Oryctolagus cuniculus: one gene and its partners. The protein of the gene in region 2 interacts with the protein of the main gene of each other region in a pairwise test. Links are inferred from orthologs where the notes say so. Each region holds a gene or a part of one and is shown on either strand. Other genes may lie near its edges. The genes, in order: APTX, PNMA1, RUSC1, SPATC1L, HOXB9, SPG7 and FMNL2.

What was found.
Region 1: the proteins of PNMA1 (region 2) and APTX interact in binary tests that used the Homo sapiens proteins (3 or more experiments, as listed by UniProt). The two-hybrid records come from large-scale screens. The link is inferred for Oryctolagus cuniculus from reciprocal best matches to the Homo sapiens genes PNMA1 and APTX.
Region 3: the proteins of PNMA1 (region 2) and RUSC1 interact in binary tests that used the Homo sapiens proteins (3 or more experiments, as listed by UniProt). The two-hybrid records come from large-scale screens. The link is inferred for Oryctolagus cuniculus from reciprocal best matches to the Homo sapiens genes PNMA1 and RUSC1.
Region 4: the proteins of PNMA1 (region 2) and SPATC1L interact in binary tests that used the Homo sapiens proteins (3 or more experiments, as listed by UniProt). The two-hybrid records come from large-scale screens. The link is inferred for Oryctolagus cuniculus from reciprocal best matches to the Homo sapiens genes PNMA1 and SPATC1L.
Region 5: the proteins of PNMA1 (region 2) and HOXB9 interact in binary tests that used the Homo sapiens proteins (3 or more experiments, as listed by UniProt). The two-hybrid records come from large-scale screens. The link is inferred for Oryctolagus cuniculus from reciprocal best matches to the Homo sapiens genes PNMA1 and HOXB9.
Region 6: the proteins of PNMA1 (region 2) and SPG7 interact in binary tests that used the Homo sapiens proteins (3 or more experiments, as listed by UniProt). The two-hybrid records come from large-scale screens. The link is inferred for Oryctolagus cuniculus from reciprocal best matches to the Homo sapiens genes PNMA1 and SPG7.
Region 7: the proteins of PNMA1 (region 2) and FMNL2 interact in a two-hybrid assay, tested with the Homo sapiens proteins (2 studies listed by BioGRID). The two-hybrid records come from large-scale screens. The link is inferred for Oryctolagus cuniculus from reciprocal best matches to the Homo sapiens genes PNMA1 and FMNL2.

Annotation. Positions count from the first base shown.
Region 1 is NC_091432.1:196,420,894-196,425,192, reverse strand, and holds the start of APTX (aprataxin), read left to right. Parts: upstream 1-1,499; 5' UTR 1,500-2,032; coding exon 2,033-2,043; intron 2,044-4,299. UniProt on the Homo sapiens protein: DNA-binding protein involved in single-strand DNA break repair, double-strand DNA break repair and base excision repair.
Region 2 is NC_091451.1:19,888,785-19,892,809, forward strand, and holds the start of PNMA1 (paraneoplastic antigen Ma1), read right to left. Parts: upstream 2,801-4,025; 5' UTR 1,750-2,800; coding exon 688-1,749; 3' UTR 1-687.
Region 3 is NC_091438.1:43,229,694-43,233,896, reverse strand, and holds the start of RUSC1 (AP-4 complex accessory subunit RUSC1), read left to right. Parts: upstream 1-1,403; 5' UTR 1,404-1,539; intron 1,540-2,233; 5' UTR 2,234-2,317; coding exon 2,318-3,680; intron 3,681-3,944; coding exon 3,945-4,203. Other genes in the region: FDPS (farnesyl pyrophosphate synthase), read left to right, coding at 348-425, 519-653, 1,007-1,207. UniProt on the Homo sapiens protein: Associates with the adapter-like complex 4 (AP-4) and may therefore play a role in vesicular trafficking of proteins at the trans-Golgi network. Signaling adapter which plays a role in neuronal differentiation.
Region 4 is NC_091435.1:687,924-692,157, forward strand, and holds the start of SPATC1L (speriolin-like protein), read left to right. Parts: upstream 1-1,434; 5' UTR 1,435-1,559; coding exon 1,560-1,761; intron 1,762-4,234.
Region 5 is NC_091448.1:24,894,128-24,897,622, reverse strand, and holds the end of HOXB9 (homeobox protein Hox-B9), read left to right. Parts: intron 1-1,215; coding exon 1,216-1,451; 3' UTR 1,452-2,995; downstream 2,996-3,495. UniProt on the Homo sapiens protein: Sequence-specific transcription factor which is part of a developmental regulatory system that provides cells with specific positional identities on the anterior-posterior axis.
Region 6 is NC_091449.1:69,189,019-69,193,275, reverse strand, and holds the start of SPG7 (mitochondrial inner membrane m-AAA protease component paraplegin), read right to left. Parts: upstream 2,801-4,257; 5' UTR 2,751-2,800; coding exon 2,577-2,750; intron 1-2,576. UniProt on the Homo sapiens protein: Catalytic component of the m-AAA protease, a protease that plays a key role in proteostasis of inner mitochondrial membrane proteins, and which is essential for axonal and neuron development.
Region 7 is NC_091434.1:89,261,057-89,264,556, reverse strand, and holds part of FMNL2 (formin-like protein 2), read left to right. Parts: intron 1-1,274; coding exon 1,275-1,424; intron 1,425-3,500. UniProt on the Homo sapiens protein: Plays a role in the regulation of cell morphology and cytoskeletal organization. Required in the cortical actin filament dynamics.

The DNA of each region.
Region 1 (4,299 bases), on a different chromosome or scaffold from region 2:
CTTCCTGGTGTGACCCTAATGTAACGCTGCTAGCAAAAACGAGTCTCTCCTGTTTCCTCGAAGAGCCTCTTGTCTTGACAGCTCTAGTATTTTCATCATATCCTTGGGTCTCTGCTTTTCCATGGAAGAAAACAGTAGTCCACCTTGATCAAGAAATGTGACTCTTCAAGGCTTGGTTTCTATTGTGTTTGAGAAAAATTACGCACTATGGGGCCGGCGCTGTGGCACAGCAGGTTGAAGCCCCAGCCTGCAACGCCAGCATCCCATATAAGCGCTGGTTTGAGTCCCAGCTGCTTCTCTTCCGATCCAGCTCTCTGCTATGGCCTGGGAAAGCAGTAGAGGAAGGCCCGAGTCCTTGGGTCCCTGCATCCGCGTGGGAGACCTGGAAGAAGCTCCTGGCTCCTGGCTTCGGATCGGCTCAGCTCTGGTCGTTGCGATCATTTGGGGAGTGAACCAACGGAATGGAAGACCTCTTTTTCTCTGACTCTACCTCTCTCTCTCTCTCTAACTCTGTCTTTCAAATAAATAAAAAAGTCTTTAAAAAATATGCACTATGTCTTCACCCATGAGATAGAAGATCTTCCATCTGGGGTGTGTGTGTTTGGCACAGCAGTTAAGATGTCCTCTTACCCCTGTTCCATGGGGTTTGATACTGCCACCCGTTCCTGCTAATATCCACCCTGGGAGGCAGCTGTGATGGCTCAAGTTATTGGACCCTTGCCACCCACATGGGAGACCTGGATTGAATTAATGGTTCTGGGTTTCTTTCCTGGTCTAAGATCAGCTGTTCTGGACATTTGGGGAGTAAACCAGTGGGCGTAAGATCGCTGTCTCTGCCTTTCAAAGAAATGAAAAAAAAATTCTTCCCTCTGCCAAAATACCTTGGAATAATTGCAATACATGACAGGGGTTAGGGAACGTCCTGGAATGGCTTTAAAAATCAGTGCCCATATCATTGATTGTTGCATCCTGCTTCTCTCCCTGACTGTCCAGGAGTTCCTTTAGTGAAGACAGCATTAAAAAAAAAAAATAAAAAAAATCTTAGCAGGCTTCCTCGGCCTCTGCCCGCTGCAGCCCTTTGTCTCCTGAACGGGAAGAAGATGCATTGTAGTTTAGAAAGGGGACGGCAATGCTTCAGCAGGTCTCGTCTGCAGGGGAGATGACCTTACAGGCAGTGAGCTACTGCTTAGCGACGGGAGCGTCAGGAGGCAGCATGGCCGCCTGGAAAAAGCCACGGGAGGGTTTGCTGCCTGAAGTCTCGTGCAGTCCAGACTGAGAGGCAGCGACAAGCGAATGGCCCTTAGGTAGACGCCGAGACAGCTCGTTCGCCTGGGCTAACTGCCAAGACCCACGCTTGGGCCAGTGAGGGACCAGTTGTGGGTGGGCACTTTTTACATCCGGGCATTGGGAGAGCCTGTTAGCCAATCCGCGGAGAGGCCGTGGTGACATCACCGGCCGCGCTGTGGCCTGTCTCGCGACGTGATCCGGCAGCGCCGGAAGCTGTGAGGCACGGCTGGAGTAACGTGAGCGCGTCGCTCTGTGTCGCCGAGCGGTAAGGCAGTGGTAGGCCTGCCTCTCCTGGCTGGGTTGAGAGCTGCGGATGTGGGCGCTAGGTCCGTGCAGCCACTACGCTTGGGAGACGTGTCCTCACGGACGCTCTCGTGGCTGTTGCGTCTTTGAAGACGTTGCCTCTTTCTCCCTTCAGCTCCCGGGCGCCGTTTCAGCAGGCGCTCGCGGTGGTCTCTGCCCCACTTGGCGTTAGTTCTCGCGTGTCCCTGACCTCTGTATTGAGCTTGGACCCAACGCAAGCAGAACACGGACTAATTAGAGAGCGGGCTCTGTCCAACCCAAGGAGGCGGCCCAGCTTGTCGGCAGGGACAGCGTTTCCGCCAGAAGCGCTTTCGAAGGAGCTCGAGGGTCCTTCACAAACTTCTCAGCGGCTCTTAGGAAAGCCAGACCGAGCAAGCCTCTTCCCCTAGAGACCGGGGCTAGCGGCTCAGTACAGTAGAAAGATCTTTCGCATTTGGAAGGAATGTGGTCCAGGTTTGGAGCCTTCTGGGAGTGTGGCTTATGTTGGGAAGTGGGGAGAAGCACAGGTATAGGTTTGTGCCCGTGCACCTTACACGTTGCTGGCCGATCATCTTATTTTATTTATTTATTTAAAAGGTAGAGTTACGGAGACGCAGAGGCAGCGAGAGAGAGGCAGAGACAGGCAGAGGTTTTCCATCTACTGGTTCACTCCCCAGATGGCCGCAGTGGCCGGAGCTGAGCCCATCTAGAGTCAGGAGCTTCTTCTGGGTCTCCCACGCGGGTGCAGGGGCCAGGGACTTGGGCCATCCTCTGCTGCTTCCCCAGGCCATAGCAGAGAGCTGGATTGGAAGTGGAACAGCTGGGACTCAAACTGGCGTCCATATGAGATGCCGGCACTGCAGGTGCTGGTTTTACGCTCTAGGCCACAGCCGCTCCTAGATGATGCCTTTACCCGTTCTCTGCTTCTGCGTTCATCATACCTTCACTGTCAACAAGAACGATGATGGTGTTGCCTGCTTAGTTTTGCCAGACGCTGAGTTTTACACCTGTCTCATTTAGCCCTTGTGACAAACGTAGAGGAATTTTATTTGAGAAGGGTTTAAAGCTTCAGAGGTTAAATAACTTGACTGAAGCCATGCAATGAGTAGATGGTGGAGCCCAGATTTGAACTCAAGGTGTCCAACTTAAGAGCCCTTGAGAGGCCGGTGCTGTGATGTAGTAGGTAAAGCCACTGCCTGCAGTGCTGGCATCCCAAGTGCTGGTTCAAGTCTTGGCTGCTCCACTTCGGATCCAGCTCTCTGCTATGGCCTGGGAAAGCAGTAGAAGGTGGTTCAAGTTCTTGGGCCCCTGCACCTGTGTGGGAGACCCAGAAGAAGCTCCTGGCTCCTGGCTTCGGATCTGCGCAGCTCTGGCCATTGTGGCCATTTGGGGAGTGAACCAGTGGATGGAAGACCTCTCTGTCTCTCTCTGCCTCTGCTCTCTATAACCCTGACTTTCAAATAAATAAATAAATCTTTTTTTTTTTTTTCTAGAAGAGGCCTTGAGGGTCACTACCCTTCAGTGATTTTCTCTAGTTGTTCATTAAAGATTCAAAGATTTACTTACTTGAAAGGCAGAATTAGGTTCACAGGGAGATTTTCCATTCATTGATTCACTTCCCAAATGGCTACAAAGGCTCGGGCTGTGCCAGGCCAAAGCTAGGAGCCCGGAGCTTCATCTGGGTCTCCCATGTGGGTGGCAGGTGCCCACCTACTTGGGCCATCTGCTGCTGCTTTCCCAGGTGCATTAGCAGGGAGCTGGATTGGAAGTGGAGCAGCCAGGTCTTGAACAGTTGCTAATATGGGAAGCTGGTCTTGCAGGTGCTGGCTTAGCTGGATGTACCACAGCACTGGCCCCTGTTGTTATGAATTCTTTTATGGAGAAAGGGTTTTAGATGTTTTCCCTTCTTAGAAAATCACTTAGGTTACACCTATCTGCTTTTCCTGTAGTCTCAGAGGATGGGTTGTTTCTCTGATGAAGGCAAAATTTTTAATCTTCTAACCTTTTTAATGCTTTTTATAGGAGACCTTGTTTTGTTTCTTTTTTTAAAGGTTTTTATTTAATGAATACAGATTTTATATGTACAGCTTTTAGGAATATAGTGTTTCTTTCCCCCATTCCTGCCCTCCCATCCCACCTCCTACTCCCTCTCCTATTCCATTTTTCATTAAGATTCATTTTTAATTCACTTTATATACAGAAGACCAACTCTGTACTAAGTAGAGATTTCCACTGTTTGCACCCACACAGAGACACAAACTATAAAGTACTGTTTGAAGACAGGTTTTGCTGTTAATTCTCATAGTACAACCTCATTAAGGATAGAGGTCCAACATGGGGAGTAAGTGCACAGTGACTCCTGTTGTTGATTTAACAATTAAGACTTATTTTTTTTAAAAGATTTATTTATTTTACTTGAGAGTCAGACTTACACAGAGACAGAGAGAGAGAGAGGTCTTCCATCCGCTGGTTCACTCCCCAGTTGGCTGCGCTGATCCAAAGCCAGGAGTCAGGAGCTTCCTCCTGGTTTCCCACGCGGGTGCAGGGGCCCAAGGACTTGGGCATCTTCCACTGCTTTCCCAGGCCACAGCAGAGAGCTGGACAGGAAGTGGAGCAGCTGGGTCTCGAACCGGCGCCCATATGGGATGCTGGTGCTTTAGACCATGGCGTTAACCCTCTGTGCCACAGTGCCGGCCTCAAGACTTATTTTTGATGTCAGTGACCACCCGA
Region 2 (4,025 bases):
GTTCAAATGTAGAACATTTAAAATCTGGGTGAACAAGAACTATTTTGACAAGGACTGGAAGGGGAGTGGGGGGATGGGTGGGTCACTGTCACCGGGTCCTAGCCATCTCCCCAGGTGGTTTCTCTGCGCGACCTCTGATCAGCACAGCTCCGGAACTGCAGTCCTTTTCCAGCGCCCCAGCTGGAGTCTCAGAACACTCTGTTCCACAGATCCGGCTCTTTAAAGATGAGCACTAAGAGATTTGCACTGTGAGGCTGAGCAGTATTACCTAAACAATGCACGTTTCTTTCCATTAATATAAACATGGAATGATTTACAGTCAACACACACTAGCCTCGACGCTGATAACAATGTGATGGTTCACGGTTCCTGCGAGCCAGGCCCTGGGCTAAACATCTGCACGTGCGACTTCACATTTATCTCCATGGGAAGAGTCACGGGTTCACACTTGTCACAGCCGAGGGTGCCGGCATGTCGACAGCGGGCGCCGCAGCCAGCAAGCCCATCGGCATTGTAGCAGCTCCCCATGCTCTGTGCAGTGTCGGCGGAGTTACAGGAACGGGCAGGCCAGAACCCCCTCCCTCCAAGAAAAACACAACGAAAACAGCAGGCAGCTAGGCCTTTACTACTCGGGACCAGGACAGCAGCTGCGGGCCGGGTCTGCACGGCAGCCCTCTTTCCTGGGGCTCAGAAGTGCCCCTCCAGGCCCAACTGCAGGAGCGCGGCCTCAGCCTCCTCCTCCTCCTCCTTGGCCTCCTCCTCACGGATCTGCACCAGCAGCTGGAAGAGGTTCGGGGCCGGCCCTTCCGCAGCGCCGGTCAGCCAGAGCTGCCTTCGGAGGGTCCCGCTGTGGTTGGCCCCGGCGATGACCTGCTCCAGGCGGGCCTGGTTCACGTTCTCTTTATCAATGGCCCCCTTCTCCACCACCTTCTGCAGCAGCGGCTCCAGACGAATGACGTAAGCCGACAACTTCTCTCCCGGGTTCTGGTACGTGTTCAGAAACCTGACCTGCGCATCCCTAGAGCTCTCCACGCTCCCGAACACCTGCTCCAGCGCCTTCAGGCACTCGCCGGTGGTGATCGCGGGGTTGCTGGTCTTGAGGATGCGGATGACGTCGGCGGCGGGGCCCCGGAGGCTCTCCATCAGCCGCCGCCTCTTTTCTGTGTCGGACACCTGCCACTCCTCTATGACTTCATTAGCGTGCTCCAGCCAGCAGTCAAAGCTCTCCTCCCCAGGCCCCGGGATGTCCCTCCCCGAGAACAGCGTCAGCTTCTTGTACCATATGGACTCCACGAGAGGCTGAATAACATTATCCAAAATATAGCTGAGCATCTCGGCTGGCATTTCGGGGCCCGGGGCCGGGGCCGGGTTCTGAAACCCAAGGACGCGGGCAACATCTTGCACGGTCCACCCCTCCCGAGCTAGGAAGAGGTGCAGCCTTTCTAAAAATTCAGCGTCAGACGTGGGGGGCTTAAAAAGCACTTTCCACACCCCTCCTTTGCCAGGCATCTCCCTGGGGATCGCGGCGTAATCCACAGCGCCAGTGAGCTCTAATAAGGCTGCTTTCGCGTTCTCTTCCCTCCAGAACATTCTCCCAAGCACTCGATACGGCACCTGGGGCATCGCAGCCTGGAGGGTCTCTTCGATTTCAGCCTCATCACAGTTCACTAGGATCCCCCAAACCAGCAGCGCTCTCTGGGAGTTCACGTCCATGCCCCTGCACCAATCTTCCAACAGCGTCATCGCCATGTTCCCAACTATCAAAGGTACCGATTCGACAGATACGGATCAGACTGCGGCTCCCCGAACTCCAACCAACACCAGACACTCCCCGCAAGCAGGCGCGCGGGCGGCAGGTCCCCGCGGTCGCTGGTAACAAGCGACACCCAAGCCCCGCTGTCCGTCTGCGGCTCCCCGGCGCGGCCTCGCAGGGGCTCAGTCAGTCACGCGGCTGTCGCCATCTCGCGTCCCGGGTCGGGGTCTGCGGCCCCAGAGTGCAGCCTGCGGGAGCCGCGGGGCCCGGGAGCGCCGGGGTGTGGCCGCGGGGCGTGGCCGCCGCTCCCGGAGTCGCCCCGGCGCTGGCGGTCCGAGCCCGGCCCTCAGCGGGGCGAGGAGCGGCAGCCCGAAGGAGCGCTCGGCGTGCCGGGCCCGGCGGGAGAGGCTGTCCGAGGTCACCGCGGCGGCAGCCGGGCCAGCCGGCGAGCAGCGGCTTCTTCTCGGGCGCGGGGACCCCTCCGGACAGCGAGGACCGCTGAAAACCGAGGGCTGAGGGGAGCAAAGACGCAGGAAGGATGCAGAAGCGAGGCGGGAGGCGAAGGCTGGTGGGGCCGGCCGGGCTCGCGTGGCGCGACGGGCTGCGGCGGCTGTGGCGCAGCTCGGCAGCCGGCGCGTTCCCGCCGCAGTGCAGGGCGGGGCCGGCCCGCGAGCCGCGGCCGCCGCACCGGATCCAGGTCGCCGGCGAGGCGCGCGCGCGTGACCATGGCAACGGTGTCCCGGACGACGCGCTCCCGAAGACTCCGTGCGCAGCGGCGCGGGGTGGGGGGAGCGGTTGCCATGGTACCGCAGCCATCAGATGTTCCAGACTTTTACAATGAAAAAAAAAATACCAATAAGCATCGAGGGCTTCTGTCTTCTAATCCGGAGCGGATTTCAGATACTAGTGGGTATCACCCGTGGTGGCTGACTTGCTCATGCAACTGGCGCATCAAGCCAGGTGCGTGGACGGCATCTCATCCAGAGGAAACGAAGGCTCCCAAGTATCCCACTTGTGTGACACACAGACTGGACACTTCCTCTTATCTTTTTTTTTTTTCTAATTTTTTTTTTTTTTTGACAGGCAGAGTGGACAGTGAGAGAGAGAGACAGAGAGAAAGGTCTTCCTTTGCCGTTGGTTCACCCTCCAATGGCCGGTGCGCTGCGGCCGGCGCACCGCGCTGATCCGATGGCAGGAGCCAGGAGCCAGGTGCTTTTCCTGGTCTCCCATGGGGTGCAGGGCCCAAGCACCTGGGCCATCCTCCACTGCACTCCCTGGCCACAGCAGAGAGCTGGCCTGGAAGAGGGGCAACCGGGACAGAATCCGGCGCCCCAACCGGGACTAGAACCCGGTGTGCCGGCGCCGCTAGGCGGAGGATTAGCCTAGTGAGCCGCGGCGCCGGCCACTTCCTCTTATCTAACACTTAGTCAAAAGGCCGGCCACCTACCTACCTACAGCTGGCAACGCACCAGTATTCTGTAATCCCTGCCTCGGGTACTCTTCAAGCCAGAGCAAGGGCCGCTTCGGTCAATCTCAGAGGATGAAAATCCCCCAAAAGAACACAGCATCCAACTCTGAATTTTTAAAACCTTATTTAATGAAAGGTTTAAAGATACAGAAGAACATTCAAAAGTAAATAAGTTACATAGGTACATTACAATCACATCAGCAAGATTCTCTTTAGTGTATTAATTTTTATATAAAAAGCACACAAAAAATAAAATCTTCCATCTGCTCTATCACAACTGTACAGCCAAAGAGGTAATATTTATATATTTATATATATGTACACCATTTTCATATGTAACAGTCTTTTTTAAAAAAGGTTGCCACAGGCAGCAAACACACAAAAGGCAGTGTCTGATCATCTGTTTCAAAATAAAAGGAATATACTTCTTTATATGCTATTAAAATATTTGTACAATAATTACAGACTGTCAAGGCTGTCCCCTCCTACAAGGCCTTCAACTTGGAGACAAATGAGTAAAAGGTGAAACAGAAACAGCTGCAAATCGTTAGAGGCAAACAGTAACACAGCAAAATGGGGGGGGGAGGACACTTGTTTTATAAAAATATGCACACTTCCTGTAAACCTAAAGGAGTCAGGCTTGCCAGTCTAGTAATAAATACTGTCCAGAAAAGCGGGCCCCCGTGGAGAGGGTGCTAAACAGCCGAGGCTTCGGGATGTGTTGTGTTCCTTCTTCATCTAGGCATCTGGCACATGAGAGATCAGGTCACTGAGGCAGTTAAGTATGGGCAGTTCCTTTGGCCG
Region 3 (4,203 bases), on a different chromosome or scaffold from region 2:
ACTGTTCAGTCACGTGGGCGAAGGCCAGGTCCCAGAAGGCCTTGCTTCTCCAAGTGCTCTTCACCCAGGAGGAAACTGGAGGTGACACAAAGGTGAAGAACAAGAGGGGACCCAAGTGACCTGGGAGCTGGGAATTGTGAGGGCAGAGTGAGTCTGAGCGCCCTCAGAACTGGTCTCCCAGGAGTGGCCGGGAAGGTGGACTGTCAGTCAGGACTTCCGGGTCAGGGAGGCCGAGGACGTCTGAAGGAGGTGATCTGAGGGCCACAGGAGCACCAGAGCCCGTGGAGGAAGCGGCCAGGGAGCTGGAGCGCCTTGGGGGTCGGCTCCTTAGGCTCTTCCCTATCCAGGCAGGCATTGACGGGGAGAAGGAACACGCGAATGCCAAGAAGATCCTGCTGGAGATGGGGGAGTTCTTTCAGATTCAGGTAGGAAGGCCAGAGGCAGTGGGGGGTCCGGCACCAGCTTCCTCGCCCCCCCCCCCCCCAGCCGCCTCATTCCTCCCTGCCTGCCCCCGCCAGGATGATTACCTCGACCTCTTTGGGGACCCCAGTGTGACCGGCAAGGTTGGCACCGACATCCAGGACAACAAGTGCAGCTGGCTGGTGGTCCAGTGTCTGCAGCGGGCCACCCCGGAACAGCGTCAGATCCTGCAGGTGCCCGGGAGAGGGCCAGGGCAGCCGGGAGTCTCACCCCGGGGGGTGGGTGTCACCCCTGGGTGCCGTCCGGCAGGGTCTGCAGGTGGTCGCTGTCGCAGGCTGCCAGTGTCCACTGGGAGCTGCTCCTCCTCGCACAGTGCGCAGAACAGCACCAGCACCCCCAAAAAAAGAATGATCTGGCCCCAAAGTGGCGAAATTCGAGGGCAGAGGAAGCTGAAGCCCCAGGCAGTATCTGACCATTTGGGCTGGGGCAGGGGGCAGGAGTGGATGTTCTCGAATCCGAATGAAGGGTGTGGAGAGCTGGAGGCCGAGGGTAGGTAAGGCTGAGCGCAGTCTCCCCCCCCCCCCAGGAGAATTATGGGCAGAAGGAGGCCGAGAAGGTGGCCCGGGTGAAGGCACTGTACGAGGAGCTGGATCTGCCGGCCGTGTTCTCGCAGTACGAGGAGGACAGCTACGGCCACCTCATGGGTCTCATCGAGCAGTACGCTGCGCCCCTACCCGCGTCCATCTTCCTGGGGCTAGCGCGCAAGATATACAAGCGGAAAAAGTGACCTGGAGGCCGCGAGGGAGGGGAGAGGAGGCTGTCAATAAATTATTGTGTAACCTTGTGGTTCTGTGCGTGCTCAAGTCACCTGGGGCCCGGCTGTGTCGGGGCGGGGGCGAGGCGGCTGCAGGCTGGCTCTAGGTGGGTGACACAGGCAAGACGTCAGGCGCGGGGAGGCGGGGCTGGGCTACGCCACGCCCATGCGCGGAGGGGTGCGGCTGCGCAGCGGAGCGGGTTGGCCCAGCGCCCCTCCCCTCCCCTCGGCTCTGTGCCCCGCCGGGCGGGGACGGTGGGAGCCGCTGACCAGCCCAGGGCCGGAGCGGTTCCAGGAGGACCCTGGTGAGGAGGGCTCGGCACGTGGGATCGACCGGGGCTGGCGGGGTGGGGCAGGCCAGCGGGAGTATTAGTGAATAGCGCAGGGGTGGTGGGTGGTGGTTAGATGATGGAGATGAGCGAGAGAATGGACAGGCGACCTCGGTAGCGAGCCGGGTAAGGGCGTACGGAGGCTGCAGGCTGGAGCCGGTGCAGGGCAGCCTGCGGATGCAGAGTTGACGTCCTGACGGCTTCTCTGTCCTTCTCCCCCTCCAGCCCCCGCCCCTTTCCTGCATTAACGGGGCTTGCCCTGATCCCCTCCGGCCCCTCCCCCCCCCACTGCTTTTAAGACCTTTTGGGCGGGGTCTCCCTTGGCCCCTTCCTCTGAGAGGGAGGTGTAGGCTGGAGGGAGGGCAGGGTCAGCTTGCTGCAGCAGGGCCGGGGGATCCATTCTGGGCTGCATCTTCTTCCAAGCCTCTGCACCCCCACGGGGCCGCATTCTCTGACCCTCCCGCTCCTTTCCTGGGGCGGGGTGTGTGTGTGTGTGGGGGGGCTTGTACATTCGACTCCACCTGCAAACACTGCAGTGGAAACTAAAGGCCAGTCGATGGCGATTTGCATCTTATTTAAATATCTTCCAAAGCAGCCAGAGTCAGTCACCTCCGTGTCCTTCCCCGGCCCTTGCCCTCACTGGCTGGGTCTCACCACCCCCGGCTTCTAGGTCTGCATTCTGCGGTTGCCAGGTAGGTGGATGTGAGAGGCCGGATCCTCCCGGTTTAGAGGCCATCGCGTCGCCGCCGGCACCATGCTGTCCCCTCAGAGGGCTTTACTCTGCAACCTCAACCACATCCACCTCCAGCACGTCTCCCTAGGCCTGCACTTGTCCCGCCGCCCAGAGCTGCGCGAGGGGCCCCTGAGCACACCCCCTCCCCCGGGAGACACTGGGGGCAAGGAGAGCAGGGGCCCCTGCAGCGGGACCCTGGTGGATGCCAATTCCAACAGCCCAGCCGTGCCCTGCCGATGCTGCCAGGAACACGGGCCAGCAGCCTTAGAAAACCGGCAGGATCCGTCTCAGGAGGAGGAAGGGGTGGCCTCTCCCTCGGACCCGGGCTGCTCCTCCTCTCTCAGCTCCTGCTCTGACCTGAGCCCGGACGAGTCGCCGGTCTCCGTCTACTTGCGCGACCTCCCTCGCACCGAGGATGGCCACCCGCAGCCCAGCATCGTGCCCCCGGGGCAGGGCTCCCCACTTGCTGCAGCAGGCCCTGGGCCCTGCTCCCCGGACAGCTTCTGCTGCTCCCCCGATTCCTGCTCAGGCACCTCCTCCCCACCCGGCCCTGACCTGGACTCCAACTGCAACGCCCTGACCGCCGCCCAGGACCTCGCTTCCCCGAGCCTGGAGGACGAGGAGGAGAGTGGGGAGCAGGACCTTCCCACCTCTGAGCTCTCGGAGGCGGAAGATGGGAAAATCGATGTTGGGAAAACGGAGCCCAGTTGGAAAATCAACCCCATTTGGAAAATTGACACAGAGAACGCTGAAGCTAGATGGAACCTCCCCGACAACAATAACTCTGGTTGGAAAACCAACGGAAATACTAACTGGAAAACGGAACCTGGGAAATTCGACTCTTGTTGGAAAACCAACACAGGACTAGCTGATTCCGGCTCGCAAACAGATGCAGGAAAAATTGATGGGGGATGGAGAAGTGACGTCAGCGAAGAGCCGGCGCCCCATCGGACAATCACGTCCTTCCACGAGCTGGCCCAGAAGCGCAAGCGGGGCTCGGGGCTGCCCCCGGTGCCGCAGGCCAAGAAAGATCGCAGCGACTGGCTCATAGTTTTCTCTCCGGACACCGAGCTCCCCCCCGCCGGCTCGCTGGGCGGCACCTCGGCGGCTCCGCGGGAGGTCACCACCTTCAAGGAACTGCGGTCCCGAAGCCGGGCCCCGCCCCCGCCCGTGCCCCCACGAGACCCCCCAGCTGGCTGGGCCTTGGTGCCGCCCCGGCCCCCACCCCCGCCCGTCCCTCCCCGGAGGAAGAAGAACCGGCTCGGGCTACAACCCATCGCGGAGGGGCAGCCCGAGGAGGGCAGGGCGGCCAGCCCCGCGGCTGGCGAGGAGGCCCCAGCCGCGAAGGAGCCTGAGGAGCCCGGCGCGCAGAGCGGCCTCGAGGGTAAGAGACTGCAGGAACCGGAGAGGAGGGCTGGGCTTCGGCCTCGCCCACTCCTCCCGAGCTTCCAGCCCCGCCCCCTGTCTCCATTCTGTGTCATTCCCCGCCCCCTCCACCAGGGAGCGCTCCGGGAAAGGGAAACCGGGCGGGCCCTTGGGCTACGGGACTAACTCTCTGCTCCCTCTTTCTCCCGCCCCTCTTTGCCTGGCTGCTGGCCCCGCTGCCCTCCCTCCCCTCTGCGCCTGGCCCCGCCAATCCTGCCTGCAGCCGGTCCCCTCCTACTCCCCCGACCCCTGGTTTTCCGGCTCTCTGCCGACGGGCGCCCCCTGTTGGCGGGTGAGGGCGCGGGCGCAGCTGGGTCCCTGCTCCTTGCGCCCCTGGCCCGGCGGCCGGGCGCCGGGCTGCGGTTGCTGGGGGCGCCGAGCCCCCCGGAGGAGCAGCTGCTGCCCGTCCGCCTGTCCCCGGTGGGAGCCTACTCGCCCCCGACGCGGGGGGCCCTACCCTGCCTGGCCAGCCCTGAGCTGGC
Region 4 (4,234 bases), on a different chromosome or scaffold from region 2:
ATGCAGAATACAAAATTACAGAATTTCTGGAAGATGACACTGGAAGAAACCTAGGTGACCTTGGATTTGATGACAACTTTTTAGATGCACCACCAAAGGCCCAAACCGTTAAAGAAAACATTGATAAGTTGCACTTAAAACTGAAAATTTCTGCTTTGCAAAAGGTGTGTCAAGAGAATGTAAAGCCACAGACCAGGAAGAAATAACTGCACAAGATGTGACTGCTAGGGCCTGTGGGGCCCCAAGGGATGCGCAGCCATGGAGCCCCCACGTCAAGGTCGGTCTGATAGCTGTTGCTGTGTCTTTATCACAAGGCGGATGTTGCTAGTTTCGGTTAGGGCAATGCTTTCCCACGGTCGGGACTTTCCAGAGGAGTTGAGAATGTTGTAAACAACAAGATGGCGCCGAGGACCGTGCGGCGAGCCTGCCTGCTGCGTGACACCTCATCTGATTGGCCCGAGAACGCGTGCACACTGCGTGAACAGACAGCAGATTGGAGTGTTCCGTGCATGGACTTGAGCCCGCTTGCAATTGGCCAGATTTTGTATATAAGCTATGTGCTGAGGAAGGAGGGGGCTTTTCTGTCCACTCTCCTCCCTTCATTCTTTCTCTGTCGCTGTTATTTTCCCATTAAAAGTCTGCTGAAGACCGATAAGCTGCGAACAGTGTCGTTCCTTTGCGGGCAAGGGAGCGGCAGGGCCGGTGTTGTAGAGCCATGGTTCCACTGCCACCTGCAGAGCTGGCGTCCCGTCTTGGAACACGGGCTCAAGTTCTGGCTGCTCTGCTTCTGATCCAGCTTCCTGCCTATGCACCTAGGAAGGCAGCAGAAGATGGCCCAAGTACTTGGATCCCTGCCACCAAGGGAGACCCACGTGGAGTTACAGACTCCTGGCTTCAGCCTGGCCCAGCCCTGGCTATTGGGAACATTTGGGGAGTGAACCAGCAGATGGAAGATCTCTGTCTCTCCCTCTGCTTTTCAAATAAGTAAATAAGTCTTTTTTTTTTTTTTAAAGATATATCTGATAGTTTTAGTATCTAAAAAGACTTGAAACTCAGCAATAAGAAAAATGGGCCAAACACCTCACCAAAGAAGACACACAGATGGCACAAAAGCACACTATGTGCTCCCCAATTGGAAAACTAAAGAGAAAGATACTCTACCTTTATATTCATCTGAGGAATGCAGATTAAAACCATGAGCTGTTGTGGTACTCCTGTTACAATGGCCAGGTCGAGAACACTGACAAGACCAAATGTTGACGAGTAATGGGAGCTGTCATCGCTGGTGGGAGTGCAAAGTGACACAGCCGCTCTGGAACAGTCTGGTGGTATCTGAACCTCAGATACCACCTGTGCACTGTGGGCATCGGACTTCCATGCCTGGCGGGGTCAAGGGGTGGGAGGGGCCCGGCCAGGGCCGGGCAGTGACATCACAAGGCCGCGGAAGGCAGGGCAGCTGTGGAACTCTGTGGTCTCAGGCTGTTTCTGGAGGATCTGCGGGCCCTGGATTTCCATCTCGATGGGGCCGCAGGCCCACCCCTGAGCACCCAGGGCTCAACATGGCTGAGGGGAGCGAGCTGATGAGCAGGCTCATGAGCGAGAACGCAGACCTGAAGAAGCAGGTGCGCCTCCTGAAGGAGAACCAGATGCTGAAGAGGCTGCTGAGCGAGAGCTGCCAGGAGACCTGCGGCCGCGGGGGCCGGGACCTCCTCTTCCCCAAGGCGTCTGCCTACCCCGAAGCCTGCTCCCCCGTGAGCGGAGGTGAGGCACGGGCTGGGCACCGGGGGTGTGGAGGAGGCCTGCTCCCTGCACGAGCGTCCTGTGCTCAGGTCTGGCAGACCAAGGCCCTAGGGCCCTCTCTGCCGCACCCTCGGGGAAGGTCCTGCTCTCTGTGCCACTGGGTCTGCACCTGGAATGTAGTGGAGTGTGCTAGCCCTCGGCCGGGGTGGCCTGGAACTGGCGGTGCGTGGGCTCTGCAGGGCGCCTGTGCAGCGCGAGTGGGCAGGGGAGTGAGCTGGAGCCGTGGCCTGTTCACCAGCCAGGTGGACTCCAGCCTTCGAAGGCTTTTTACAGAGAACCTAGAGTTTTATCACTTTCTGCAGAAGTAGTTGGCTCTGGTGAAAAAAAAAAAAGTTTCATTCATGGAAAGTGTGGCTGGGAGTGTGGTTGATGGGTGTGGCCTTGGCCTTTGGTTGGGACGGAACCTCTCATCCAGCAAGTTCAGCTGCGCCCTGGACCTGGTGCCTGCTCAGCCAGGATGGGGACAGAGGGCACATCCCAGCCTGCCCGTCCCAGCAGTGGGGCAGGTGGCCTGGGAGCCTTGCCGGCTGCAGGAAGGAGCTGCTGACAAGGCTGCTGCTGACGCCCACTGCATGCCCAGGAGGCTGGTCTCTGCGGAAGGCTTGCAGACCTTAAGCTGGGCTTTCCCAGAGACTGGTGTCCAGCAGGATCTGGGGCTCTGAGCCCCGAGTTTCCCCCTGGAAACTCTGCGGTGCAGGATGGCCCAGCGGCAGCAGCAGGCATAAGACCCTCTGACGGTCACATGCCAGCTACCGCAACACACGGCCTCACTAGCGCCGTTGACCTTGGTGGGGACGCTTAGCAGAGTGCCGCCCGAGACCCAGTGCCATGAAGGTTGCTGTCCCTGCCCTGTGAGGCTGGTAGCGGAGCTCAGGGCCTGGGACCTCCCTGGGCACCCGGGGGACGCTGGTGTCTCAGCCGCGTGCTGTGGCCCTGTCTCTCACTGGCGCACAGCTTTCCTCTGCCCGTCAGCTCCCCCCTTGCCCGTGGGAGCTCCCGCAGCGCTGGAGCCGCTGAGCTGCTGCAACAGACCCTTCACGCCCCAGGGACGTAACTGGCTCAGCAGCTTCGCCCTCACGAGCTCCAGGCAGGGGTGAGGGCTCCTCGGCCAAAGGCCAGGGCTGTTGAGTAGACACTCCCAGTGCTCTGCAGAAGTCCACTGTACTGACGGCTCCCTGACACCGGGCATCGCAGATGTCCACTCTGTCCCCTTCCGCCACGCGGCCAAGGCCTCCCTGTGTGGGCCTTCCTGGACCGTGGCTCGGCTTGGTGGGCCTGTGATGCACATGTTGAACAGGCCCAGAGGGAGCGCAGCCTCGCTCTCACTCCTTGGGCGCCTGTCCCTTCGGTCTGCCTCCCGCGCACTGCCAGGGGCCCGCAGCGGCCAGCTGGGGTCCTGGTGTTGCAGGCCGGCTCTCAGAGGCCGAAACGCTGGCGGCTCCTTTGGAGCAGCTCTGGGCCACCGGTGCTCTTTGCACTGAGACAGAGGACTGCCCGTGCTGCCGTGAGTGGGTCTCGAGTGGCTCGGCCATATTCCAGAATCCGACGGCTCCTGGCTCCTGACTTTGGCCTGGCCCAGTTCTGACTTTTGTGGCCACGTGGGGAGTGAACAGTGGGTGGAAGATCTCTCTCTCCCTTTCTCTAATTCTGCCTTTCAAATAAATAAAATATTTTTAAAGAAATTAAAAGAAACAGAAAAATTGAGCAATGTCTCATTCCGTTTACCCTCGTGATCCCTCTTCTGCCTTGCTGGAGGGCCTGTCACTTCCGCCCCCGGTCCAGGGCGGCTCGCTGCACTGCTGTGCCCCATCCCGCAGGGTCACCGCCCCGGCCCAGGACAGCTCGCTGCACTGCTGTGCCCCAGCCCGCAGGGTCACCACCCCGGGCCCAGGACAGCTCGCTGCATTGCTGTGCCCCGGCCTGCAGGGTCACCGCCCGGACCCAGGGCAGCTCGCTGCACTGCTGTGCCCCGGCCCGCAGGGTCACCGCCCCGGGCCCAGGACAGCTCGCTGCATTGCTGTGCCCCAGCCCGCAGGGTCACCGCCCCGGGCCCAGGACAGCTCGCTGCACTGCTGTGCCCCAGCCCGCAGGGTCACCACCCCGGGCCCAGGACAGCTCGCTGCATTGCTGTGCCCCGGCCTGCAGGGTCACCGCCCGGACCCAGGGCAGCTCGCTGCACTGCTGTGCCCCGGCCCGCAGGGTCACCACCCGGACCCAGGGCAGCTCGCTGCACTGCTGTGCCCCGGCCCGCAGGGTCACCACCCGGACCCAGGGCAGCTCGCTGCACTGCTGTGCCCCAGCCCGCAGGGTCACCGCCCCGGGCCCAGGGTACCTCGCTGCACTGCTGTGCCCCAGCCTGCAGGGTCACCGCCCCTCGCTGTGTTCTGGACATCTGTCTGGAAGTTTTACACAGTTATTTCGGCACTCTTCTTTG
Region 5 (3,495 bases), on a different chromosome or scaffold from region 2:
GCACACACACAGCCCATAGCCCAGCAAAGTCTGTCTGGAAAACCCATTATTTCGAGGCGGCCATTTGGCCAGGATCAATTATTAACAGTTTTTTCCTCTTTCATATTTAATGCGGCTGCTAGTCCCAGCCCAGGCACTCACATTAAGGAAGTAGCACAGCACATTGGTAAGCCAGGGTACTGAGTGTAGGATAAGCAAAATTGTTTCTTAAAGGTATTCAATAGTTTTTATTTGGAGAGAATGAAACTAATAGAGAGGGTGGTTGTGGTGTTTAATGAGCTCTGTTGGATTTGGCAACTTCTGTGCGTCCCAGTGTGGGAGGAGAGGTGGGCAGAAGAGAGCCTGTGTATCTTGATTTCTTCTTTTTGCCCCTCTCCGACTCAGTGTGACTGTTCTCTCTGTCCCCAGCCCTCCCCGGCAGGTAGAGTCCAGGCGTGCTGCACAGGGCTTTTGGTTCCCCTGGCTCTCCACCTTGGCACTGGAGCAATTTTGCTTCCCACTTTCCCTGAACTTGTGTTGTAAGCAGCCCGTGCACTGAGCTGTAGGCAAGGAGACACTATTGCAATCATAAGTTATCTGTGAGCCCAGCACTGCTGCGTTCCTAGGCTGCAATTGATAGATGGGTGCAATTGGGTTGTGTGTGAATGGGAGTGTGCAGGGTGGCCACGGCGCTCGGGGCAGACCCTGTGTTTGCGGTGTGTGGCAAGTGGTGTGCATTGGGGGGCCGGGGGGAGCGAGTTGCACAGCCACACTTGCCTATGGCCTGCAGGCGTGAGAGGACTCATGGCACTGGAAGCCTGAGAGGTTTGCCAGCTGTGGCTGAGCAGAAGCCCCCTGCTCACCCACCCGATGCCCCGTCTTGTTTCCCAGGGACCTAGAGTCAGGACGCTGCAGGTCAGCCACTGCTCTAGCCAGCCAGTGCTGTTGGGGGTGGCCAGGCGGCAGCCAGGGTGGAAGTCTAAGCAGTTAGGAGGCACCTGGAGAAGGCTGGAGTGAGCGCTTGAAGCAGCACAGCCTGGGGAGTGCTGGGGGGAGTCTGGGCATGAGTTTGAGTCTGTCCTGTCCCCTGGAGGTGTCTGCCACAGAGCTGGCCCCTCTCGGGAGCTGGCAGGCCCAGGTGCCTCTTCTCTGGGGCCGGGGAGCACCCTGTTGGTCTTGGTCCCTTCCCTGTCCCCTCCCTTCCCTTCTTTGATTCTGTCGCTGCTTCTCTTTCAGCCAACCCCTCCGCCAACTGGCTGCACGCTCGCTCTTCCCGGAAAAAGCGCTGTCCCTACACCAAATACCAGACGCTGGAGCTAGAGAAAGAGTTTCTGTTCAATATGTACCTCACCAGGGACCGTAGGCACGAAGTGGCCAGACTCCTCAATCTGAGTGAGAGACAAGTCAAAATCTGGTTTCAGAACCGGCGGATGAAAATGAAGAAAATGAGTAAGGATCAGGGCAAAGAGTAAAGAGGAGCCCAGCCCCCACCCCCAGCCCTCCCCAGCCCTCTCCGGCTCACTCTTATTTATGTGAAGGTTGCAAAGCCAGTGCCATCTGCAGTGTTTGAGTGAGTGGGGAGGGGAAATCTTTCTCTTCCAAGTCCCAGAGCCTCGCTCCCCTCCCTCGCCCCTACCTGACCCCCTGCTTCTCCCTGGGCACCCGCAGGAAGTTTCCTTGAGTTAGAAGGTAGAAGTAGTTGATTGCTAAGACCAGTGATGGACCACATGGGAAGAGAGACCTGAGTTTTCCTGGGAAGCTGCAGCCCTCACAGCCTGCCTGTCCCCTCCCCCGAGGCTGAGGCTGTCCACAGTCACCCAGGCACACTCCAGGTGCATAGGGCCCAGCAGACGCCCATGTATATAGAGCCTAGCGTGCACGGTAACCAGGGGGGAGACGGAGCGGGGGTCCTAGCCCTGAAGCAAAGGCACAGCAGGAAGAGGTCAGAGAGGGACCCTTGTATGAGGTGCTTCAGGCCTCAGCAGGGCCACACTGTCCCCATGGGGCAGACCCAGTGCCCAGGCCAGTAGGGTAGAAAAGGCAGAGTAGTTTTATGAAGAGCTCCCCCCTCCCCCCACTTTGTTGCAGGAAATGTTTAATTCTGCATGATGTTTTCCTCTCCTTCCAACAAAAGCAGGTCACCCTGTGGGTCCTCCAGTTGTGACAATGTGGACCCTGGTCCGTTTGTGCCCCACTTGACATAGACCGTAGCTTTCCTCCATCTCCACCGGCCCCGCATCCCTCCTTCCACATCCTCCCTAGATCGGAAGTCCACTCTGGTCAAATCCACCTTGCACCAGCGAATCAGCTGCCCCTTGTAAGAGAAACCCCTACACACACACACACACACACACACACACACCGCCCGCCCCCTGCCAGGTCGGCCCCACTATAGACAGGAACGTCAGATCAGGGGAGCCCGATGGAGAATTTAGTGTGAATTGATGCCTGAGCGCCTTTCCGGAGTAAGTTGTCGGGGACCGGGACCAGCCATGGCCCCAGCGCTCGGAGCTCGGCGTGTTTCTTCCCCTCCCGACCAACCCGGAGGAGCCCGATGCTCTGCGGCCGCCCTCCGCGCCGGCGCCCCGCTTTGCCTCCCGCTATGCGGGCCTGGATGCCGATTGGCAGCCGCCGCTGCAGCTTGCATGCCCGCGTGCAGAGCCCAGAGGCCAAACCGCACCTAAGCGGCAGGAGGAAAAGGACTCTCTGCCTCCCTTCCTCGCCCTGCGCCCCCACCCCTCCGTCCCGCGGGACTCTTCTCCCGACCCTGCACAGGGGCAGTTCCAGTAGAACTTTCTCGCTGTGTCCGTGGCTGTCGTGAAATTGTGCTTGTGTTTTGTGATTTCTTTGGGGGGTGATCGTCCCGCGTGTTTTCAGTCGTGGCTTCTGGGGGGGGGGGAGGGTGGTGGGTGGGAGTGGGGTGGGTGAGGAGCCTAGAGCTCTAATTGTTTGTTTTGGAAGAAAAAGAAAAGAAAAAAAAGAACAAAAAATATATATCACTCTAGAAAAACAAATCTCTCGTGTCTTCTTTTGTGCGAGCTGTTCCCGGTCTGGCCATAGAGAGAGACTCCCAAAGTGGGATTTAGTCGTACAAGCTTGACTGTGCCCAGGTGGCCCCTAGGCAGCGCTCAGAGCTGGCGCCAGACCCAGGCCCCCAGAGCCCTGCCTGGACAGAGCGAGGACCAGGGGAGGTGCAGCGGGAGGGGAGAATGGAGCCAGGACTGGGTCTCTCTGAGTGGGCTTTCCCCCCACAGTTGCCCACCGCCTGGGGAGCCCGGAGAGGGGGGAGTAAAGCAGGCAGTGCAGGTCTTGGGAGCCCTGCGCTCTGGCCGCTGAGAGAGAGGGAGGCCAGGGAGGAAAGCAGCAGGACCCCTCCGCCTTTCCCTGCCCCCAGGTGCGAGGCTGAGGGCTTCGAGGGGGCGGAGGTGGGGGTGGGGCTCCTTAGGGTTCCTGGGGTCCCAGGCACCCCTGTGAACTAACCAGGACCTAGCAGCCTTGGTCTGAGGGCGTCGGGTC
Region 6 (4,257 bases), on a different chromosome or scaffold from region 2:
GGCACCACAGTACTCGGGTCACACGGCACCACAGTACTCGGGGTCACGCGGGCACCAGAGCACTCGGGGTCACGCGGGCACCACAGCACTCGGGGTCACGCGGGCACCACAGCACTCGGGGTCACGCGGGCACCACAGTACTCGGGTCACACGGCACCACAGTACTCGGGGTCACGCGGGCACCACAGTACTCGGGTCACACGGGCACCACAGTACTCGGGGTCACACGGCACCACAGTACTCGGGTCACACGGCACCACAGTACTCGGGTCACACGGCACCACAGTACTCGGGGTCACGCGGGCACCACAGTACTCGGGGTCACGCGGGCACCACAGTACTCGGGGTCACGCGGGCACCACAGTACTCGGGTCACACGGGCACCACAGTACTCGGGGTCACACGGCACCACAGTACTCGGGTCACACGGCACCACAGTACTCGGGTCACACGGCACCACAGTACTCGGGGTCACGCGGGCACCACAGTACTCGGGTCACACGGGCACCACAGCACTCGGGGTCACACGGCACCACAGTACTCGGGGTCACGCGGGCACCACAGTACTCGGGTCACACGGGCACCACAGTACTCGGGGTCACGCGGGCACCACAGTACTCGGGTCACACGGGCACCACAGTACTCGGGGTCACGCGGGCACCACAGTACTCGGGTCACACGGGCACCACAGTACTCGGGGTCACGCGGGCACCACAGTACTCGGGGTCACGCGGGCACCACAGTACTCGGGGTCACGCGGGCACCACAGTACTCGGGTCACACGGGCACCACAGTACTCGGGGTCACGCGGGCACCACAGCACTCGGGGTCAGGCGGGCACCAGAGCACTCGGGGTCACGCGGGCACCACAGTACTCAGGGTCACGCGGGCACCACAGTACTCGGGTCACACGGGCACCAGAGCACTCGGGGTCACGCGGGCACCACAGCACTCGGGGTCAGGCGAGCACCAGAGCACTCGGGGTCACGTGGGCACCACAGTACTCAGGGTCTCACTGGCACCACAGTACTCAGGGTCTCACTGGCACCACAGTACTCGGGGTCTCACTGGCACCACAGTACTCGGGGTCACACGGCACCACAGTATCCAAACAATGCAGACTGCAGGCACTGGGCACAGCAGGAAGACAGCACTGGGGACCCACAGCCCCTGCTGCAGTGTCTGGGTTCAAGCCAAGTGCACCCTGGGAGACAGCAGATGAAGGCTCAAGAGCTCGCTCTCCCGACACCCGTGGGAGACCAGTGTGCGGTTCCTCGCCCTCAGCTTTGGTCTGACCAGTGTGCGGTTCCTCGCTCTCAGCTTTGGTCTGGCCTGGGACCAGCTGTTGCGGGCATTTGGGGAGTGAACCAGCAGATTAGAGATCTATATCTCTCAATTAAAAAAACAGTAAAAGTTTCAATAAAAAATTTTAAGCTCAAATATAAATTTGCTTACAATGCCCTGAAATGTGACTTAACTATCTGAACATTATTTCCAAGTTTTGAAGTAACAAAGCAACAGCTCCTGAGCCAGCCAAAGGCCGGAGCTGACTGCCCTGCACCGCCCAGGCCCTCGCAGGACGCCAGGGGCGGTTCTCCAAGGTACTGCTCAGACCCCTTCTGCGTTCCCGACCCCAGCTCCTTGCAGAACCCCACCAGGTACCAAGGCAGCGCGCCAGGGTAAGTGGCCGCCTGCAGTGCCAGCACGCCACATGGGTGCCGATCCAGCTCCCTAACGCTCCCGGGAAACAACGGAGGACGCCCAAGTTACGGCTCCCAGCTCCTGGCTTCAGCTGGGCCCAGCCATTCCAGCCAAGGTGGAAGAAGTCTCCGGCTCTCCCGTCGTCTCTAACTCTGCCTTTCAAATGCATACATATTTTTAGACCACGGTCCGGTTTAATCTGTCCCATCTCTCTCCCGCCACTTGTTTAAGTTCTGTCCTCAGAGCATCCCTGCCCGGCTGAGTCTCCCGCCCCCTCGTGTCCACAGCAAGGACAGCGGTCAGCACCGCGGGGGGCAGGCCTGGACCCTTCCTGCCACCACCCCCGGCCCGCGGGGGGCCTGGGGCTTCCCCGGCAAACCAAGGGGGCCACAGCCGCCGGTGAGACAGCCTACTGCAGTCTTCGTGGCACAGAACAGGATGTGCAACAAATCAGCACTGGCCTTCGGGTTCAGCGCGACCACGGGTCCGGGTTTAGGGCTATATAGATTACATATAATTTATAACTTAATAGTTCCCTCACGGATCACGGTAAAACACGACGTACTGTAACGTGAAACCTGAGGGTGAGCTTCAAGGGCCAGAAAAGCACACTCTGGGGCTGCTTCTGGGGTCCAGGCGCCCCGACCAGGCGCGCCCCGGGCTCCGGCCCTGCGGTCCCGCGGGGGACCCGAGACGGGTCCGTGCGCCTCTCCCCCAGAACAGCGACACCGCAGCACGGCCCGCCAGCCTGGCCTGCAGGCTGAGAACCGCTCCGCCAGAAGCCGCACACTCCGGAGACGGCAGCAAACACCCGCACACCGCGTTCACACCGGGAAGGCCGCCGTCTGGGCTCAGGGCGCCGCCCGCGGGGTTACCTGTCGGGCGCCGCCTCCGGCACGGCCCACTGGAGGCCTGAGGGCCACGTACGGCCGCCTGCTGCAGGCTCCGTTAGAGACGCCCGGGCTCCAAGCAGGGCCTGGGCGCCACAGCCACACGGGACCGGGGCCCGGGCCTGGCCGAAAGGCGCGCAGCAGCAGCATTGCCGCCATCTTGGCCAGAGACCAGCGCCTGCGCAATCTGCGGGCGTTCCCTGGGCGTCTGCGCGAGCAGGGCCTCCTCACGGCGCCTGCGCAGTCGGGCGCGGGCGGGGCCCCCTGCGGCGCCTGCGCAGTCGGGGGCTTCCTCCGGACGTCTACCCCGGCAGGGCCTCCTTGGGGCGCCTGCGCGTTGAGGGCCTCGACTGCGGCTGGGGTCTGGTTCTCGTTTATTCCTGCGGAGCGGGCGGCCTGGGGCGCTTCTCACCCCAGCGCCGGCGCCGCTGTCTCGAGGCCCAGCAGTGGCGTCTGCTGCCTGCCTGGACGGAAGCGGGGGCCGTGCCCGGGAGGGGGCCTCCGCCCTGGGTCTCGGGGCCCTGGGAGCCCGGAGCGCAGCCTGCACCGCGAGGGCGGAGGACGGGGCAGCGGGCGGTCCCGCCGCGCCCCGGCTCTGCAACGTTCTCTGTCGCCGCTCCTCGGCGGCGCCCGGTCCCGGGCTTGCGTGCCTCGCTGTGCGCCCGCCGGCTGCGGGGAGCCGGAGAGCTCGCTGTGTGAACATGGCGGCGCGTGGTTCTGGGTGTTGCTATTTCCCTGTCAAAGCCGGCCGAGCGGGCGCTGTCAGCACCTGTTTTACAGGTGAGGAAGCGTCCCTCCGGGTGTGCGCAGGCCGCCCCCGCGGGTCCCGGGTGCTGGCTCTCACCCCTGCAGGGGGTGTGTGTGCAGGGCAGCCGCGGGCCCCGGGCTGCCCCGCCGGCCTCGGGTCCCTCCTTACTGCCCGGGCACCCCCGGGGGGCCGCAGGTGAGAGTCCTGGCCACCCCCGTGGGAGGCTTGGGCTTCAGCCTGACTCAGCCCCAGCGCTCTGGGCATCTGTGGAATCAGCCTATGGTTGGGAGTCCTGGCTCTGCCCCTCGGAGGGATGAGATGGCCGTGCCAGCTTGTGGTCGTCTGGCCAGCTTGGTCCCGTGACTACAGTCAGGCTCCCTGGGCAGCTTGTGCTGTGCAGCCCCGGCAGGAAGTGACCAGCACCCAGCCCTCGGCAGGTGACCTGTGACTCAGCCTCAGTAGCACGGGTGGCCTGCGAAACCACTTGTTCCGCCCTGGAAGGCAACCACAGGCAGGACTCCAAATTCAGTACATATATAGCACTCATTTTTAAGTTTCTGTTTATTTGAGAGGCAGCGAGAGGTTTTCACCCACTGGTTCACTCCCCAAATGGCCTTAATGCCCAGAGCTGGGCCAATCCGAAGCCAGGAGCCAGGAGCTTCTTCCCGGTCTCCCACGCCGGTGCAGGGGCCCAAGGACTTGGGCACCTTCCACTGCTTTCCCAGCCATAGCAGAGCTGGATCAGAGTGGAGCAGCAGGACAGGAACCGGTGCTGGAGGTGGAGGTTTAGCCCACTATGCCACAGTGGGCAGGCTGTTTTAAGTTGATAATTCTGTATGGCCCGTGAGTGATGTTATAAATATCCCAGTGGCCCTTGGTAGGAAAAAGGTTCTCGAAATCCACTCCAGCAAAGGCTAG
Region 7 (3,500 bases), on a different chromosome or scaffold from region 2:
ATTTTCATGAGAACTTTTATAGAGTGGGATACCTTTTCAAAATTTAAGATTTTTTTCCCAAAACTCAGTGTTTATTTAGCTTTGTGTTATGTTAATTCTGGATCCTGATGGATACGTGTGATTAGAAGAGCTATCTTATAAGCATGTAGTGACCTAAGTACTTTTTTATAGGTAGTCATTGATTTGTTCAATAAATGTTTATTGACATCATCCACGTACCAGATACTATTCTCACCACTCATCTTTCCTCCAGGGAAGGTCATAACCTATGACATGTAGGGAAGATTTACTGATTGTTGACCTCTATTGTCATCCTTTTTTCCGCGAAGATTTATTTATTTGTCTGAAAGGCAGAATTACAGGGAGGCAGAGGCAGAGGCAGAGAGAGATCTTCCATCTGCTGGTTCACTCTCCAAATGGCCACAGCAGCCAGAACTGAGCCAATCTGAAGCCAGGAGCTTCTTCTGAGTCTCCCATGTGGGTGCAGGGGTCCAGGGACTACTTTCCCAGGCACATTAGCAGGAGCTGGATGGGAAGTGGATTAACTGGGACTCGAACTGACACCCATATGGGATGTTGGCACTGCTGGCGTTTGCGTTACCCACTATGCCACAGTGCCGGCTGCCTTCTAGTATCATCTTAAAGGTAGCTGAGTTTATTCTTGATGCTTGACCTTGGATGCAGCAAGCTGGGGAAAGGTTTCTGATCTGTGCTTTGGGAGCCCTGAGCTGTTTTTGTTGGGCGCTCTACCTTAGGGAAGAAATCATGGGATATAGGCCCTAGGAATTTGCTAAAATAAGCCTGAAGGCTAAGTATAAACTCAAGCAGTGTCTACCCCATATTCCACCTAACCCTCTGGCCTCGCTGCAACCCCATCACTTCTAGGCAAGGTCCCACTCCCTCTAGTCTCTCGTGTTACACAGACAACCCTCAAGTTTTACGTTGCTAGCCATTGTTTCCTTTGGGAGCTGCTTGGATGTTTTTTGTTGTCCCAATTTCACCTACACCCAGATGTTCTAGGTTACAACCTAATTACATGGAGCAGGAAGGATTAGGAGGAAAATGTGTGTGTGTTTGGGAGAGTGTAGTCACCAGAATGTAATCTGGTGGTCCTCCCTCAGGCTGTTACTCCACAATTCTTTTAAGGTAGATGATATCTTCAGCCTTCTTGTGGAAAAGCTGGGCTCTTCGAGCAAACAGAATGCATAGACTCTTGGTATATTCTGCTTCCTCAGAGAAGCTAACACCGTCTTCTGTCACGTTCTGGTTTGTAGAAGCTGAAACACACAGAGAGTGACAAGCTGCAGGTACAGATTCAGGCTTACTTGGACAATGTGTTTGATGTAGGAGCTCTGCTGGAAGATGCTGAAACCAAGAATGCAGCCTTGGAGAGGGTGGAAGAACTGGAAGAGAACATCTCTCACGTAAGTCGGTCTCAGAATGGGAAAAATTGCTGACATTTCAACTGGGTGCAAAGCAGAAGTAATGACAAGCATTTATGGCAATAAGTTAAAGGAGCTGAAGTGTAGCAATGAGCTCTAACCTAGGATAGAGAGCTGTCAGAAGCCACTCTGGGGTCTTTCAAAGAAACCAGATGTGTTACATAAAACAAAATCAAGTCTGTCTGCTTGCCTGCTAGGTTCTGCTGGGTTGTGTTTCCTGATGACTTCGGTTATGGAGAGTTAGATGATTGACATCACCTGCAAGATGGGAGGATATAAAATATGGGAATTTGGTCTGAGTCAAAGGAGTATCTCTTGAATTTAGCCACCTTCTTAAATATGTTCACACAGGGCCATGGGCAGGATTAGCTAACTCTGTGATGCAGGTCTGAACATTCCTGTCTGATGGCTATTCAAATTCTAAACAGGGGCACGTATTTGGCCTAGTGGTTAAGATATACTGATTAAGATTCCTAAATCCCACATTGGAGTGCCTGGGTTCAATCCTGAGCTCCAGCTCCTGACTTGAACCAACGGTTCACTCTCCAGATATCTACAATAGTCAGGAGCATGAAGCTCAATCCGGGTCTCCCATGTCAGGGGCAGGAACCCAAGTAGTAGAGCTGTCATCTTCTGCCTCTTAGGGTGCACATTAGCAGAAAGCTGAATCCGAAAGAGAGTAGCTGAGCCTGGAACTACACTCCCATGTGGGATGTGGGGTCCCTTAGCTGCTGTGCTAAATAACCTGACTATACTTCGTGGAGGAAGTGTCCTCCCAGTGTGATGTCAGCTCTGTACCAACAGGGATGCAGCTTTCTTTGAGGGACTTTTCCAAGTTGAATATTAGTCTGTAGGTCCTCAGAGATTGTTCACTTGTTCATGTTTTGAACAGAGCATTCAGTACTGTGAAAATGAACAGAAAAATGGTGTTTCTCAGAAATTCCAGTATTATGAGGTCCAAATTCTTTTGATAACTTCTGATGTGTACTTCACTTGATTGTGAACTGAGTTGTCCCTTTTGTGGAGGAATGTTATTTTTTCCCATGGAACAGCTCATTTATTTTCCTCTACATTTTTCTTTTAAAGAGTACTGCGTGTGTTTGGTTTCCTCTACCTTTTCCCATCACTCTGCAAATGGGCATATTCATGGTTTGTGGTTAGGCCAAGTGAGTGATCCAGAAACCCTCTGTAAGTGCTCCAGTGAGCTGGTCGGCTTCCACTTCGGAAGAGAACTTGTAGGCTCAATAATTCTGAACTTAAATGATTCAGTCTGAACAGTAGAAATCTCCATGCTTCCTCCTGACCTTGTCTTTGCTTAGGATTATTTTCATTGAGATGTAAAAAATCAGAAATAGGTAAATTTTAAGAGCATTTGGCATAAAGTAAAATGACCCATTCTGTGTTTCTCTTGAAACCACTGCCAACATTACATGACCATACTTTTAAAAAACTTAATTCCATTTTTCACAAAATTAAAAATTTTTTTAAACTTAATGTCATTTTATTTGAAGGATTGGGGTAGGGTGGAGATTTTCCATATGCTTATCCATTCCTCAAATACCCACAATAGCAGAGACTGCCCCGGCCCCAAGCCAGGCACTGGAGCTCTATCCGGATCTCCCCCACATCGGTACCTCAACAGCAGTCAGCTGTTGTCTCTCAGGGCATGCATCAGCAGGCGACTGGAACTGGCACTGGAGCTGGGACTCCCACCCAAGCCTTTGCACGAGGGGTGCAGGTGCCCCAAGCAGCATCTCAACTGCTGTGCAGAACAGCCGCTGCTGCATGGCCGTACTTCTGTATTTACTTACAGCAGGCCACCTGTTTATTTCAGTTGTCTCTCAAATAGTGCTCAATATTTGATCAGTTTGGTTTAAAACAAGCAGTAGTTTTTGTTTTGTTTCAACTGGTTACCTGGAATGTCACAACCAAAATTTCTGAATCAATACTTTCGGAAAGCTTTTGCTCGATGCCCTTGCTTGGGAAGCTGTGGAAGTGGACTCCCGTTTCCCTCGTCCCTTACTGATCTCTCTATCATTACTGGTCCCTGAAGAAATG